2 linked regions of the Daphnia pulex genome follow. The protein of the gene in region 1 interacts with the protein of each later gene in a pairwise test. Links are inferred from orthologs where the notes say so. Each region holds a gene or a part of one and is shown on either strand. Other genes may lie near its edges.

What was found. The genes of interacting proteins can lie anywhere in the genome.
Region 2: the proteins of pre-mRNA-splicing factor syf1 homolog (region 1) and peptidyl-prolyl cis-trans isomerase E-like interact in a two-hybrid assay, tested with the Caenorhabditis elegans proteins (2 studies listed by BioGRID). The link is inferred for Daphnia pulex from reciprocal best matches to the Caenorhabditis elegans genes syf-1 and cyn-13.

What each region holds. Positions count from the first base shown.
Region 1 is NC_060020.1:2,903,058-2,907,636, reverse strand, and holds the start of pre-mRNA-splicing factor syf1 homolog, read right to left. Parts: upstream 3,218-4,579; 5' UTR 3,127-3,217; intron 3,066-3,126; 5' UTR 2,909-3,065; coding exon 2,867-2,908; intron 2,799-2,866; coding exon 2,650-2,798; intron 2,566-2,649; coding exon 2,442-2,565; intron 2,374-2,441; coding exon 1,949-2,373; intron 1,876-1,948; coding exon 1,743-1,875; intron 1,678-1,742; coding exon 1,288-1,677; intron 1,223-1,287; coding exon 1,037-1,222; intron 969-1,036; coding exon 309-968; intron 250-308; coding exon 154-249; intron 89-153; coding exon 1-88. Other genes in the region: pre-mRNA 3'-end-processing factor FIP1-like, read left to right, coding at 3,245-3,331, 3,396-3,519, 3,650-3,858, 3,925-4,161, 4,220-4,432, 4,521-4,579.
Region 2 is NC_060020.1:8,629,067-8,633,066, reverse strand, and holds peptidyl-prolyl cis-trans isomerase E-like, read right to left. Parts: upstream 2,129-4,000; 5' UTR 1,830-2,128; coding exon 1,793-1,829; intron 1,729-1,792; coding exon 1,556-1,728; intron 1,479-1,555; coding exon 1,071-1,478; intron 1,012-1,070; coding exon 824-1,011; intron 760-823; coding exon 624-759; 3' UTR 538-623; downstream 1-537. Other genes in the region: uncharacterized protein LOC124191929, read left to right, coding at 1-46, 124-226, 322-455.

The DNA of each region.
Region 1 (4,579 bases):
CTAGCATTTTCATGCTATCCTGAGAAGCAGCCGCCGCTTCGGCAGTGTTGGTCGCAGCAGCTAACATTTGAGCTGACATCATATTGATCTAAAAGCGAAAAATGTAACAAGAAAATTAAGATCGGCTTCAAACTCATCAGGTTGAGACTTTACCTGTGTATTATATGTTGCCTGCACGCTGCGTTTGATTCGAAGCATTTCCCGCATCGTATCTTCGTTGCCATGGCGAATTTCAAACTCTTTCCAAACCTAAAAAAAATGATGGGTGAATAACTTTCTAGGACGGAATTGAATAAAAGATAAGATACCTTCCAAAATTCAGGCGCAACTCTGGGGTCGCACATTTGGCTGCAATGTCCGTATACAGCACGGGCTCTGTCAATTTCTCCCAATTTGCGCTCCAAATCGGCAAATCGCAAACACATTTCCCTAGCCTGGTGATCGGGTAGCTCTTCGATGGATCGTTCATAGATGTGGCGCGTCTTGGTCACACCATAAATCTCGGATGCCTTCTTTATGTACATATTGTACATGTCAAAGCGCTCATTTGCTGGCACAGCTTTGGTGGCTCTCTCGTAAACGTTCATAGCGTGACGGGCTAAGCCGTGTTCCTCTTCGAGTTTAGCGTAGAGCATAAAGAAAGTCTTGGCAAACTTATTCGGACATCCCTCAAGACACTGTTCAAAGAGATCTCGAGCTCGTTCCAATTTTGAGCCGCCGTAGCGTTTCAAAAACTTTGAGAGATAGGTGTTCCAGATGTCGTACACGTTGGGCCATTTGAAAAGAGCAACGCCACGTTCGTAAGCTTTAAAAGCTTCTTCAAAGTAGTTATTTTCCTCCAAAAAGATGGCATAGTTCATAATGATTTGCGGTGTTGCAATTTTCAACTCGAGGATACGGTCATACACGGCCTTGCATGTTTTGAAAGTACCAAAGCTTTCTTCAAGATCAGCGTACAAACCCCAAATCTAGAAAATAAAAATGTGACAATCGTAGAGAGATCATTAGAATGGAAGTGGCTAAAAATATAAAATACCTTCAGTGACTTATGAACACGTGTTTGCACTTGTTCGGCGTCATCATGGTAATTAATTTTGCGTGCAGGAGGAGTTGTAACACGGTGCATTAACTTGAGAGCTTCTTGGAAATGAGAATTTCGGATCTCCATCTCGGCCCACTCGCACCAAACAGTCGCCAGTTCATCAACTTTCACGTATTTCACCTTTAAAGTGACACAAAAATGATGAGGGGATCAAAGGCTTTTAATGCACTGCAAAAACAACTTACATGCGTAGCTTTTTCGAAAACTATCCGTGAATCGTCAATCTGATCATTTTTCTCATAAAATTTGGCAAAGTCGACCCACAGCGTGTGCACCTTTCCAATGGCCTGCTTTGGATCGACTGTCTGGACAGCCTCGGTAAAAGTATTGATAACTTCATGAGGTTTGCCCTCATAAAGCTGGACTCGTTTATGCCACTCGGCGACATTATGGGGGTTTTGACGTAAAAGAACAGAATTCAATAGCAAGGGCCGGCGATCCATTAAATCCTCAAAGCGGGCCATCCTCAACTCAACTTCAATATCATCGTCTTCTGTAGGATTAGGTTTCTGACCAATCTCTTCCATCATATGATTCAAATTCAACTCTTCAAACTGGGCATAGGCATCAAACACCTGTCGTAAATCAGAAAAACGTTAACTTGATTCGCATTAAATAAGACGACCACAAAGTATTTTACCTGTGTGAAGTCTCGTACTGTAGTAACTGTCTGAATGGCTTCTTCGTAAATATCTCTTGCTCTTTCAAACAAACCACTTCTAATATAGTAATCGGCAAGGGAATTCCAAAGCTGGCCAAGTTGATCAGTGTACCTACATAAGAATCCAGTAAATTATTCCTATGTTTGTAAAAATATTTGCATTTAATTTTTTTCCAGACACTCACCGTCGAAGACCTCCTCGAATGATTGCATCCACGTTAAGACTTTTAATTTGCTTGGGATTTTTCGAATTAAGTTCGCACAGTTCATTCCACAGTTGGTGGTTTGATTTTCCTGTCTTCGAAACAAAGCTGTCCTTGTTCACAATCTGGGCAAGTTTAACAGCTGCCTCATCAAGTCTGTCAATAGATTTTAAGTAATCGACAAATTCCTCTGCATCTTCGGTCGATAGTTTAAGAAAACGACGGAAAACTCGAACAGCTGTTTCTGGTATTGGATGCATTTTAACAAACTTCAAGTAGAGGGGCCAAATTCTGGAATGCTGGGTGATTGGCAAGGCTCTTAGAGCACGGTCAAAGACCTTTCTCGTAGTGGTAATCTTCTGTTGAAGAGTCAGAAACTTGCAATAGTCCATCCAAATCCTTGGCATCTATGGTATTCATTAAAAACATGGTATTTAATAATGTGTGATAATAATATAATTGGCATTTAAGATACCTTGTGCATGAATACCAATGCTCTTTCAAAAGTATTGTTGGCATCTTCATACAGTGGATCTGTTATACAGCGACCTTTAGTTTGCTTCCTTCTTAGGCAGAGATAACTGTACCATAGTTTGTAACTGTGAAGAGACAAACATGTGGATAGTTGAAAATGAGTACAAACTTATTTACTATGTACTACTACAAGAACCAATCAAACGAACCTGCCAGGCATTTCCTTCAAAGCTCTCTCATAAATCAAATTGACAACAACAGGAGGGGCATCCTTTTTGAACTCGCAATAGCGAAGCCAATGTTTGACAGAGTAAGGGTTCCGTAGAATCTCCTCTTCATACGCTAAATCTTCTTCACACTTTAAAGACAGAAGACATATTGTTAAAACCTATTAGTCAACTTCAATATAAAACAATGTATTATTACCAAAACAATGTCTCCAGTTTTCTTCCCTATACTTTTATCCATTTTGTTTATGAATTTTCTCGCAGCCACTCGGCTCAAATAAAATTTAACAAATAAATTTACGAACCAAACGTAAATGCACGTCTGCCGGGTGAAGTGTTGCCAAGTTGCACACTTACGTCTAACCCAAATTAAAGTTGAATTTTGTCCCTAATAGCGTCTTTTTATATAACGAGATCATTATAAAAATGGATTATCACAAGTTTTTATAGTAAAAATACCTTATTTTTGCGTTTGATGTGAAACAGCGACAGCCGACAAGCCACAAGCGTACATTCGCTGTTGTTTGTCCCCTCAGGCCTAAATTGAAGTGGGGTCTTCTGCTGTTTACAACCGAATATGGCCGACACTGTCCGGCACCCAGATGAGGCAGATAATTCTAATTCACAATTCCCTTATTCCTCGGAACAGTTACCAGATGAATACGTGAGTTTAAAAAAAAAATTATTGTTCGTCAACTGAAATTGATACTTGTCTCTTTTTTTTTCAGGGCGATGATGGAAAAATCGACCAAGACACCACCGGTAATGGAGAAATGTACGAAATCGAAAATGAAGATCATATTGCCATAGACAGAAATGACGGAAATACGGAATACGCTGGAGAAGGCTATGGTAATTTCATGTACATTTTTAATTATGGAAAAGTTCTTCAACTATTATCCCTTGTCTCTTTCCCTGTGTTGAATCGCTTGTCTGGTTTTCCCATAACAGTTTTAACATCCTGTATTTTCTATTGTAAAAGATCCAGAAGAAGCTGCAGAGACTAACGAAGAAAAGGATGAGAGACAAGATGAAGATCAAGACAATGATGACGATGAGGATGATGAAAGTGATGATGACGTACAAATCACGATTGGTGACATAAAATCTGGCCCAGCAGCTTATGCTGGTTTTAATGTCAAAAGAGGAACAGCTGGAACAACGGCACAAGGATTGGGGGAAAAGAGCAAAGTATACATTGAGCTACATCATGTTTGATGCAAGAGTTTGTTTTTAACATATGTATCTTATCTTAAGTTCACTGTGGAAGAGTTCGAAGGCTCAATGGCGATTAACGGTGTACCAGCACATGAATTTAGTTTGGATTCGCTGGAAGATAAACCTTGGAGGAAGCCTGGTGCTGATATCACTGATTATTTTAATTACGGTTTCAATGAAATAACGTGGCAAGCATATTGTGAGAGACAAAGGCGATCCCGTATGGAGTCTGGGGCTGGTGTTCCGGCTAGCCTTGGATTAGGACCCCCACCCAAGGTAATAAAATACGTAAACAAATGAAGCTCAAAGACGATATTATTATTTTTTGATTCAGATGATGGCGACCCCGGCCCAAGCGATTCCGATATCAGTGGTTAACGAAAATTCAAAATATGCGGGGTCAGTGGTTGTGAAAAAAGCAGGCCCTCCGCCAGCACGCAAAATGGCTGGTGCCATTGATGTCATTGGTGGAGGGAATCTATCTTCACGCCGACCAGAATCAGGCGTTTCACCTGCTCCTTCTATGGAGGAGCAACCTCCCGAAGTGGTAAGGCCCCGTATCCTTAATAAAATATTCATCCAAAGTCAACCAAAAAACTTTAAAGTTTATTATTTAAATTTCATTTTAATATCAGCCTGAAGCTCCTGTGGAGAAACCTCCCGTATCGATCGATTTCTCACGTCCTCCTCCTGG
Region 2 (4,000 bases), about 5.7 Mb from region 1:
AAAGGCGGTTCCTCGTTTGGGTAGGCGCAAGGATATTTCCACGGAGGTGTGTAGTCCACAGTAGACGTAAAAAATCAGATAATTATTTCTAAACTTAAAAAAAAATATATATATCTTTCGAAGTCTGGTCGGGCGGCAATGGTTGGGGAGGAACCTTTTGGCCGTATATCCAATGAAATTCCCATTATGAATCAGAAGCAAGATTTGTGGCCTAATATGAATATTAGTAAATATCTTTTTTCATTCAAATACCTTACAGTGTCTAAAAAATGTCAAACTTGGGAATTTCCTGTAAACATACCAATTATTTTACTTGTTTAGATGAACTAACAGGCGCATTAAATAAAGAATTGAATTATCCGGGACCGCGGATACCCAAAGACCTGCAAGACAATTACATCCAAGATTTGATTCATAGCTGGATCAATCAATATGAAAATCTCAACGAAAATTAAAGGACCCATGACGTTAATGTTTTTCTTTTGTTTTTTTGTTTTTTTCCGGGAGGGAAGAGGGTTGGAATATACTGTAGTCCAATCAATTTGTTTGTTTATATTTTTCATGAGCACAAGACATTGGTCATTAAACAATGTAGTTAAAAAAAAGCTTCTTTTATTCATGTGTTACAATAGTTCTCCACAGGCGGACATAATGACTTTGTCAGTCGGTTTACCAGACTTTGTTCCGTACTTCTCCACTTTACGTAAAACATCTAGGCCGGCAAGAAGTTGACCAAATACGACGTGCTTGTTATCCAACCTTTGAAAACATAAAGGTGCTATTAGCATTATAACTATGATATTTTAACAGGGAAAAAACCTACCATTCTGCTTTGTCAAGGGTTAGAAAAAATTGGGATCCATTTGAATTTGGGCCTGAATTCGCCATAGACAGAATACCAGGACCGTTGTGCTTCAACGTAAAATTTTCGTCTTCGAATTTCCCGTTTCCACCGAAAATTGATCGACCACCGGTTCCATCACCGTTAGTAAAATCACCACCTTGACACATCTTTTGCAAAAGAACGTTAATAAAAATAAATATTGATTAAAACTGAGCTTTCCGCTTACAAATCCTGGAATAATACGATGAAAACTGGAATTCATGAATCCATAACCTTTTTCATGAGTGCAGAGAGCAAGAAAATTTTCAGATGTTTTAGGGGCGACATCAGCTCTCAATAAAATAATTATTCTGCCCAAATTGATTTTTCCAGCTTTAAGATCCATGTACACTTGAGGGTTGCCGCGAGGCTTTTTAGAAACTGCTGACTTAGTTTCAGATTCAGAAACATTGTCTTTCCCTTCAGTTGATTCCTTATTGTTTTCCTCCACTGGATTTTTATTTTCTTCTGTCTTTCCAGCATATTTTTGCAACCAAGAATCCTCTGACCAAACTGGTCTAGAATATCCTTCCTTAATTTTCCGAGGTCTTGCAATGTTTACAGTAATTGTTTTGCCAAACAACTCAGAATCATTCTGAAAGAAAGGCATCCATGATGGCAAGTAATTAAATATTTGTTTACTAGATAAACTGTAAGAAATTGTGAGAATACCATGTTATCAATTGCGGCAGCAGCATCTTCAGCTAGTTCATACTCAATAAAAGAGAAACCTCTATGTTTTTCATGATTTTCATAATCTGGAGGTATTTCTATATTAACAATTTCTCCGAAAGGAATAAAGGCTGCACGCACTACTGATTCATCTGCCTCATCAGGAAGGCCACCTGTTAAAATGAATCACAGTAAGCATTACATTTCGTAAGACTGAAATATGTTATTTGATCTTACCGACATAGATGTTTCGCTTGGCATTGTTAGATGACATGTTGCGGCACAAATTTGAATGCACCACAAGAAAGATTATCAAGAATCGAGGTTACGTGTTCAAAAACTTTACGTAAAGTATTGAAATTCTCAATGTTCAAAGCATCCCCATAAGCTAATGAGTAATATATAAATATCACTGTCTAAACCTTCCTTATTATTATGCACAGTGAGGACAATAATAAAATACCGATTCACAGGTTGCAGACTAATCAAACTGAAAACTGGCGTGGGCAAACAGTCAAACACGTTCGTCAGAGTGCAGAGACTGCAGACAGCATGTTTCGCTTCGTTATACGATCAGTAGAGCTAGAACCAAAGTGGCTGTTCCGCTTTTTAGCGACTTTTTGGAGATTTTTCCAAATTCAAATAGCCCATCAGATTATTTTATTTGAATCAAAATAAATTCAAATAAACGCAAAATAAAAAGGCTACTCCAAAACTAGTAAACTTGTTGCTTCTTCGCTGCTACTTTAAGGTATCTGATGGGAGGATCGCGGAATTTTTTTAAAATTGAGACTAAAGCACTAAACCAAAAATTTAAGAAAAATTTAACGGACATCGACGTGAATCTGACTGTTGGTTTTGCCAGTGATATAGGAAAAATATACATCTCTCTGGTATATAATAACTACAACAAGGAATTGGATCTAATAAATCCATTGACATTAACCCGCGGATTTTATCTCAAAATATATAATATTTGGGCCGATTTTCTTTAACGACAAAAGAGATCGCATAAATTTTAGAGGTAGATCTTAATAACGCGCACTTCTTTTTCGTTGACGTCTGGTTGTCTCAAATGCAAGTTCCGCATTTATTTTCAAATCTTTCTCTTTGTGATGAATAGCGTTTCAGTTATTCAATTAAAACCGAACCTGTTTTTTCACACTTCCGTTAAGGGATAGTGTACCTGCGTACGAATAACGGTTTTCTTTTTAATTAATTTGGAAAGTTAAGGGCTTAAGGCTAGGCTATCATAGAAAATGATTTATGTCAAGTAAAAAAATTATTTAGACGTATCTACTGCTACGTCTCTACTCTCTAGGCTTGGGGGAAGGCAACGTCCTTTTTAATGCATTAGGGAGTGCTGGATAGCATTTAGTATAAAAAGAGCTGTCAAGCGACAAGCATTAGTTCGTTCACTTCGTGGGCATAGCGCCTCTAGTGGCGTGCATTTTGCCCTAGGATCCAAAAGATGTACTAGAAATCAAGCACTTCCTGGTGCGTAAAGGGCTACATCTCAAACCATACATATGAAAGCGGACTAGCCACTTCGGATTCAACCCACCCGTCCCTATTCCTGTCACTGTCAACTCATAGTCGTCTGATCACTCTGATGTAAACAAAATGTGTAAAGTGTAAACTCAGTAAGATTTGAAGTCAAGTGTAAGCAGCCGTAAATTTCATTTTAACCAATTGTTTCATCTCTATTCGAAAAGAAAACCGCCGTGAGTTTATTGAAAAACTGTGAGAATATGAATGTGGTATAAAGTTGTGGTGTTAAATTAAATATATTTCCATTATAAAAAAACATGGGACGAACATCTAGAATCCGAAACAGGTTGGTTCGAATTGTGCATTCTCGCCCACTTCGGATTGATTCACATTCAGAATTCGTTGAACTTTGTAAATGGATGAGTGCGAATGGTTGGAATGCTGTGTCAAAAAATTGTTTAGTTACAAAGCCAGCTCTGTTTAATAGCACTGGACGAGGTCTCATGGCTATGTCTAACATAGCTCCTAACCATCTGCTAGTCCAGATCCCCCAAAGTCTTCTTATCACTAAAGAAAAAGTTTTGGCAGAGATTCCTGACTTACTACAGTTCAGTATGACTACAGCAGAATGTCTAACTTTCTTCATTTTGAACTCCAAGTTTAATGGACTGTACTCTTCATACATTTCAACATTACCAAAGAGCTTCTCAGTTGGTGGATTGTGTAAAAGCCAAGAAATAGCTGTCCTGCCCAGCTTTCTTCAAGAGAAAATAATGTGTAATCAAAACTTTGTCTTAAAAAAATATGAAAAAATCTTTGCAATATGGAGAAAGATATACGGCTCAACCCTCTCACTCGAACTTTTCCAGTGGGCTTGGTTTTGTGTCAACACAAGAGCAGTCTTTTATCAAGATTCTAAACAACACTCACATGGATTGAACAAGGTGGATGGAA